Bombyx mori: one gene and its partner. The protein of the gene in region 2 interacts with the protein of the main gene of each other region in a biochemical or structural test. Links are inferred from orthologs where the notes say so. Each region holds a gene or a part of one and is shown on either strand. Other genes may lie near its edges.

Evidence for each region.
Region 1: the proteins of histone deacetylase 6 (region 2) and src substrate cortactin form a complex in vitro, tested with the Homo sapiens proteins (3 studies listed by BioGRID and IntAct, with this or other methods). The link is inferred for Bombyx mori from reciprocal best matches to the Homo sapiens genes HDAC6 and CTTN.

What each region holds. Positions count from the first base shown.
Region 1 is NC_085113.1:1,684,599-1,689,111, reverse strand, and holds the start of src substrate cortactin, read right to left. Parts: upstream 3,083-4,513; 5' UTR 2,815-3,082; intron 2,646-2,814; exon of another isoform or gene 2,602-2,645; intron 1,944-2,601; coding exon 1,804-1,943; intron 1,114-1,803; coding exon 1,027-1,113; intron 202-1,026; coding exon 92-201; intron 1-91.
Region 2 is NC_085111.1:17,650,083-17,653,915, reverse strand, and holds part of histone deacetylase 6, read right to left. Parts: intron 3,177-3,833; coding exon 3,053-3,176; intron 2,656-3,052; coding exon 2,446-2,655; intron 1,303-2,445; coding exon 1,177-1,302; intron 454-1,176; coding exon 324-453; intron 1-323.

The DNA of each region.
Region 1 (4,513 bases), on a different chromosome or scaffold from region 2:
CGGAACGTGCTTCATCTTATATAGTATGTCTTTCATAATTAGGAGCCATTGTATATAGTATGATTACGTCTTAAAATAGAGATGAGCTTACCTTGAGCGTAATCTTTCTGCGAAACGTGTTTCTCGGTCTTGCCAACATAGTCGTGTCCAACGGCTGATTTATCCATGCGGTCAGCTTGGACACCGAATTTGCCACCATATCTGTCAAATTCGACAAGCTCATAAACACACCATCTTTGATAGTATTGGTCTTTCCATGCTATTAAAGAGCCTCTAGTCATTATTTCCTCATAAATGGTATATTATATTGTTACGCGCTGGGACTCGGGATGAATAAAGCTTCCAGCGAAGTACTAATTAAAACTCTATTTAACACTTAGAACATCTTAGGAACACTTTACAATTCGCACTTCACTTCCGCTTCGCTTCACGTGATCCGTTCGCTGTTTCGCTTCGAATAGATTACCAACTGCCTTCATGTCATCTCTGCAATGCTTTTATAGTAGACACGACAAGATTACAATTATTGAGAAAGTTCACGATAGAACAAGACGTTTCGATATGTGTTTCCGATATTTGATAATAGATGGCGTTGCACATCTCGAGCGTTCTCGATACTACTAGTTCTTTTGATATTCGTTTCTGTTATTTAATGACAGATGGCGTTATTCTTACCCAAGTAACAATATAGTTTATTCGTCATATAATCTGCCTTAATCGTCACTATTCTAGGTTCACTGACCAGAGACTTTTGTTATTGAAGACAACTACAAGTATCCACTACAACAAAGTCTCAATTTAATGATAATTATGCTATATGACATCTAGCATCTATTTACTTGAGCGAGCTGACGTAACGTGCACTATAATTAATTTAACATGTTGATTTATTTTATGCAATGTTAATTCATCAATCATTAATTCATTAGTGTACTTGTTTTACTACTTAAGAATACACCTTATTCAGGCTATACCAGGCTTTATTGGGTCAGGCCCTGGAAACCACATTTAAAGTTGATCACATACCCAAATGAAGGTTTCGGTCCAGCCTCATACTGTTTCTTCTTGGCTAATTTGTCAGCTTCAAATACCTCTTCACGTAATTTTGCCATGCTGTTAAAGAATTATAATAAAATTGTAATAGGTGCAGATAATATGGGCACATATTACATAATATAATAAATACATTTAATATAAAACATGTATAGTATCTGGTTCGTATATTGAGCACTGGACCCCTTCACCGAGGGGACCTCATAACCACTCTTTAGCAAGGGTCAGTTTATATTCAACAAATTATATAATATGTAAAATAATTCCAAGTTTTTCAAGCATGACTAATTCATTATACATAAATGATATGTCTCAAAACAAATGAACATTTACAAAGCGGTTTTAACATTACAGATTGCTTTCTTTACGTCATAGGATATTCATTAGGTACGCTTTATTAGCCTGTATTGAGGTAGATCAACTTTTGTGTTTCTTAATTTAAGTAAATTAAATAATCATTTATATTTTTGAGCTTTTTTATTACTTTCATATATGTTTTCCTATCACTTTCACATATGTTTTCCATCCCATGAAAAAATATGTGATAATAGTTTAACTTTACAAACAATTATGTGTAAAATTAGGGTAGCCAATAATGTTGCGGAAAACTGTCATGCTTTCCCAAAAATATTTATTCACACTGTGTAATTGACATACGAAAATACATGTAAATGCAGTCCCAACCATGTTCTTCAACAGTATAAGCTTTATAATCGAACCTCATAAATTAGGTTAAAAAACATTGCTCACTCAATTGCCTCAACATTCCTTCCGGCGGGCCCCCATCTTTGTTCCTGTTCACTCACATCATTAACATAGTCGGGATCTGTTTCCCAATCATCTGCTTCAGCAGGCTCTGGTGCCTTCACATTAGTAGCAGCTTTCCACATCTGTGAGTGAAATGTTTGAACAGATATTTTAAAAATGACTTATGTGCAAATTATAGATTGGAAACAGGGGCTATTGTCAGGTTATTTCTAACTATAAAACAGTGTTTCCCACTTTTGTAAAATATTTATGCCCTCATACAATATAATTTTTAACATTAAAAAATTGATTTGTTCACTTAAGAAACATAAATGTTAGGTTTTAGGTAGAAATCACTATGAAATTGTTATCAGAACACAGTAAGTAATATTTCAAAACATATAATAAAAACTGAAATTCAAATTCAAAATAATTTTAATACAGATTTTCTATATTCATTTAGTGCAATTGCCCCACTTAATTATCAAATTGGCCCCTTGTAGGGCATAGGCCTCACGTAGGGAAACGCCTCTCTACAATGTAATAGAAAGACAATAAGCACTCAATTAAAATCAAAAGTAGTATCAGTTTAAAGGTGTGGAGCAAAAATGCATCTTGTGCTTGTTGTAATATTTGCAATTACATAATTATGCTGATGGTACTTGCAAAAATATCGAATGATATAAGGTTGATGATGCCATGGACAGGACGTGTAGTCATGACCCCCAGCATTGATAGAACGAGATGCAGAAGTTTTAATATTTTCTTATTTTTTCCAAATCAATTTATCTGTGTACTTACTAATACTTTTACAGACGACTGATAATATTTGCACTATCTGAAGAAAAAATTAGATAAACATTTTGATAACACGAAAAAATTATATTTACGTAAACAATCAGGTACTTATTTGATTACTTATATTGGAATAACAAAACTATCCTTTTATTGGAATAATAAAAGTTCAATATTGACTTGAGACCAACTTATTAGTAGTAATCTAATTTAATTCACCTTATTCCTTTGAACCGGTTGAGGAAAACAAACACGTTTTTAAAGTTCTATTTTAAACTTTCACTTTTAACGCATAAAAAATTATCGACTGGTTAAAATGTCATCGATATATTTTAATGGTGAGAATTTTTTAACTCTAAAAAACGTTTTCTCAATTTGTTTTTACTTTCATATTTTGTATTTGGATAAAATTTTGGGCGATGGTTTTTGTGATGCGTCAGCCTCTGACAGATGTCATCGTTGTCAAATAGAATCACAGACTATACACTAAAATATACGAGATATACAAAAAAATAAAATTTATAAAAATATTAAGTAGTTACCTACCACATAATATGTCAATAACATTATTCATTTTCTACTATCAGCTTGAGCAATTTATTATAACTGTTAATAACTCAACCGTTTAGCATATTTTTGTTTATGTGATCTTCAATGTAATTAACTCGAAGAGTGACGATCTTGGTGACGGTTCACCCAATCTGAAAGGAATGGGTGAACCACCTCGATGATCGAGGGCGAGATCAAGCTTCCAACACTGCCAGCTGAGCAATCAGCCTACGTTTTCCAACGAACACCAATTCCAGGAAGATGCTTGCCTCGTTTACCAGTATCCATCCTTTCGAATCACCACTCACGTGCGGAAGTTTCAACGATCGTCCACTTTGTGCTCATAGACCCTGAGTTTAACCCTATATCCGAAATGGCTGTCTTCGTTTACAATATGGGCGTCGGCAGGAGGCCTGTGACAAGTGGTGAAGGGGGCAAAATCCTGAATTTTCCAAGGATGCCACCAAAGTCACCCCTTCCCTTTACTATCGTATGAAAGAATAACGATCAACTCGGAGCTCAACGCATAAGACGTTGCATTGTCATTCAATGACATGTTTTAATTATTATTAAAATACATATTTTCATTGCATTAACTTTATTCCGTAAAATACAACACTTACAACTAAAATATCACAAAAAAAAAACAAACACCATACAAAAAACAACTATTAAATAAACATACTTTTATTAGCTATGTAGATACCTCCACAAACGTACCACACTATTAGAAACACGTTTACTTGATGAGAGCTTATCTGTTTCGATGATATTTGATACCAAAGAAAAAACACATACTAATTATTAAAAAAATATCTGTCATTAACTAACATTGACTAATCCTAGGTTGCACACGTTTATTTGTAATTCCTCAATGTTTAAGCAACGAAATACGAAATTCTCGATCTAGACAGAAAAAAAAACCGAATCAAATAGGTAGACAAATCAATTAATTTGTTTTTTTATTCTACTCTATTCTAATTAAAATAATACACCATTAAATAAAACAAATAGGTAAGTATATCAGGAAGATGTTTAACATTCACATACGTATTTCTTTATTAATTATTAATTTAACTCAAGCATACTAATTAAGCATACTAATAAATAATTTAACTAATTAAAGTATAATATTATTACACATTTTTAAAAGTCACTTACATCACCTGACAAATAGAAAATCTTTATTTGGGCTTTATGACCCAATTCTATTGCTGTTATTATAAAAAGTGGGTTCTATTCTTAATACGGATCATCAATATTCCATGAATTATAATGAATTACATTGAATTAAAAATAATCAATAAACTATCAAATAGCATATGTAGGTAGGTCACTTTTGTTGTTAGACTGTCTGAAGAAACCAAAA
Region 2 (3,833 bases):
ATATGCGTAATTATCAGGACATGGTATGCATTTTTTCTTTTTAATCCTTACGAATGTCGAATATATGATATTTTCTGTAAAAAAATATTTTTTGAAAATCTAATATTTTGATGCTGATAGTCGTTGTGTGAATCGTGTATGTACTTTACATCAAATAACTCAAACATTTTCATATAAAGATGAAATAGATCATTAGTGTGTGAGCATACGTGGGCGATTGCTAGTGTATAAATTTTGGCCCCAAATTACGCCACACGTAACGAATTTACGCTCGGCTAATTTGACAAGGCGAGTTTACTTGTTTAAACAAAAAGCGTTCTAACCTCCCAGTGGGTCTCCCACGCAGGCATCGAACCCCGCTGACACGATCACCAGATCCGGATTATACTCGTGAGCTATCGGCAGCACGACCTGGGTGAAGGCGGCCATGTACTCCGCGTCACCCATGCCGCGCTGACGGAGAAATAAAGGGAAGTCATCAGGACACGCATATATACTTTGTATTTTTGGGACAATGAAAAACATCTCACTAGTCGACTGATTTTCTAAACTCAAGTTTGAAGTCAACACCGCTAATATTATAACGCCATCTGTTGTCAAATAGCAGAAAAAAATAACAAAAGAACTAATCATATCGAGAGCGCTCGAAAAGTGCAACGCTATCTATTATCAAATAGTGGAAACACATATCGAAACGATTCGCCTTATCGGGAATGTTCTCAATAGTTGTAGAGTTGTTGTGTCGACTATGGAAGCGTTGCAGAGATGGCACGAAGGAGTCAGTAATCGGAAGTACTCCAAGCGAAGCGGAAGAAGTGAATTGAGAATTTTAAAGTGTTTCTTAAGTGTTCTAAATGCTTAATAGCTTTAATTTGTACTTAACAATATTCACTTCTCCCGGTTCGCTTCAGGTGATAAGTTCGCTGTTTCGCTTCGAGTAGTTCCGATTACTAACTGACTGCGTTGCATCTCTGCAACGTTTTTATAGTCGATACGACATCCCTAGAGTCGCCGAGAACATTCCTCACAAGTCGAGTGTTTTCGATGCGCGTTTCCGCTATCTGACAATAGATGGCGTTGTGCTTCTCGAGCGTTCTAGATGTTATTAGATCCTCCGATATTCGTTTTCGATATGGCGTTTACTCTTACCGGCGTAACAGTATTCTAGTTTATTACCTTATTCCAAGGTATGTTGATATTGTAGCCCTCGCCCCGCCCCGTGCCCACGGCCGTGTAGTCCGCGTCCTTCGAGTGCGGGAAGAACGAGCCGTGGTCGTAACGATGTATCGATATGTACAGTATCTGAAAGAGAAAATCGATTTTATAATCGACACGCATTTTTTGTGTGGGTTGTCTTGATTATATTGTTAATTAGTGATACTCCGTCAGACTCCGCTAGGACTGTCGTCGCTAATTATTGTGCATAACATTTTTTTTAAACTACTCGCACGCCTTCTGTCGTGCATAGGTAGTACGAGAGAAATTATGACACAAATCTTCCCTGGATTCGTGTTTATATGGCGATGCATAATGGCGAAATATAATACATGTAAATTTCGATTTATTTTTTTATTGCCCTCGTAGGCAAACGGGCATACGACCCATCTAATATTGAGTGGCTACCGTCGCTTATAGACGTCAGCAATGCCAGGGGTAAGCCAAGCAGCTGCCTACCTTATTGATTTGACATTGAAAACAAACTCAATCACTTATATATTTTACTAGCGGGCCGCTCCGACTTCGCTCGGGTCTTTAACAAAAATTTAAATATAAAAAAATATAATACACACACATTAACCCTTATATTTGCGTCAGGTTTCTAAAAATAGAAAATTATAAAGTATTATAGTTTGAATAATAATAATTATTTTAATGAACTCTAATTTTCATTTAAATAAAAATAAAAAATCTAATTTTTTATTATTTTTATATTATTATTTGTTTCATTATTGGAGTTTTAGTAAGAATCTCTCATTTAAAAAAAAATAATAATATAGCATGTCACTCTGGAAAAGTGTAGCTTTCAAACAGTGAAAGAATTTTTCAAATCGGTTCAGTAGTTTCGGAGCCTATTCAATACAAACAAACAAACAAACAAATCTTTCCTCTTTATAATATTAGTATAGAAATATAGATTAGTGATGAAGTATAATATACAGGCATTATATTATGCAAGTATCGGTCCTTTACTGGTGGTCGGACATCTTGTGAGTCCGCGCGGGTGGGTACCATCACCCTGCCTATTTCTACCGTGAAGCAGTAATGCGTTTCGGTTTGAAGGGCGGGGCAGCCGTCCAGTAACCACTTAACACCAGGTGGGCTGTTAGCTCGTCCACCCATCTAAGTAATAAAAAAAAAGAGATTACCAGTATACCAATGGTTTTTTATACGGTCATTGCTGTTTAGTGTGTGAAGGATATAAATTGGGAGCAAGTGTAGTTGCACCTGGTCGTCGGTGTAGGTGAGCGCCTGCGTGCCGTTCCCGTGGTGCACGTCCCAGTCGAGCAGCAGCACGCGGTGGGCGGCGCGGGCGGCCAGCGCGGCGTTGTTGAGCAGACAGAAGCCGGCGGGCGCGGCGCGGGCGGCGTGGTGTCCGGGCGGGCGCACCACGCACGCGGCGGCGCCGCACTGCCCCGACACCACCGCCTCCACCGCCTGCCGAGCGGAACACCGTGCCACTCAGTCTTAACCCTTTGACTGCCGTGTAGGTCACCGGTGCCCTACGCGGCGCACTCAAGTAATATTGTCGATTTCTGTTACTAAGGCGCCTGGATAACTTTTTCCTTCTTTTGTTTTAATCCTTTAGGACTCACAGAAATACATTCGATTTCAGTGGACCACCACGCCGCCTATTTCTGCCGTGAAGCAGTAATGCGTTTCGGTTTAAAGGGTGGGGCAGCCATTGTAACTATACTGAGACCTTAGAACTTATATCTCAAGGTGGGTGGCACTGTAGATGGTGGTGACGTTGTAGATGTCTATAGGCTCCAGTAAGTATGGGCACCAGTATGGGCTATGAGCTCATCCACCCATCCAAGCAATAAAACAAAACCTGCAGCACGCAGCCGGCCGCCACAGCAGCGCTGGACAGCGACTCCGGGTGAAAGTACACAGAGTCGTACTCCTCCTTCTGGTTATTCAGGTCCCGCAACTTCGTCGACGCCAGCTCCTTTAACCTGAGGAGATACAGCATATAAATAAATAAAAACACAAATTCTACAAAACATATTGCGATAAGATTGATTTTTGTTTAAATTAAAATTCTGTGTGGCGTTTTAGAATGACACCTTTTTTTTAGCATGCGTAAGCCGGAACGCACAACAGGTTGAAAAAAAAAAGATAGTCTGTGACAGCATACTATTTACCTCCGAAATGGACTTTTTGGCGGAAACCCAAGGAGTGAAGTTATATTATGATTTGTTTTATTTTGTATATTTAGTGTTTCTTCGGGTTTAATGTGTAATAATGTTGGTTTATTAACTGTTTAGTATCTGTGAAAGTACACAAATGTAAGTAAATCAAACAAAGCCGCTAAACGTAACTTATCGGGATCCTACAAACAGTCCATTGAAAAAGTCTACCAAGTAAATGACCATTATTTTACTGAGATTATATTTCATACCATATCATCTAATCTCATTTCATTTCGTTACATATTATTTTCATATGAAAAAGAATATAAATTAAAATAAGACTTGACTTAAAGGTCTCAGTTACAAGGTCATAAAATCCTTTATAAAAAAAACTTCCGAAATAAGACGATAAATAAAATTAAAAAGTGTTATAGCTGTGTAAGCTGCTGCAACAATAACATTCCTATTGTTTCGATTATC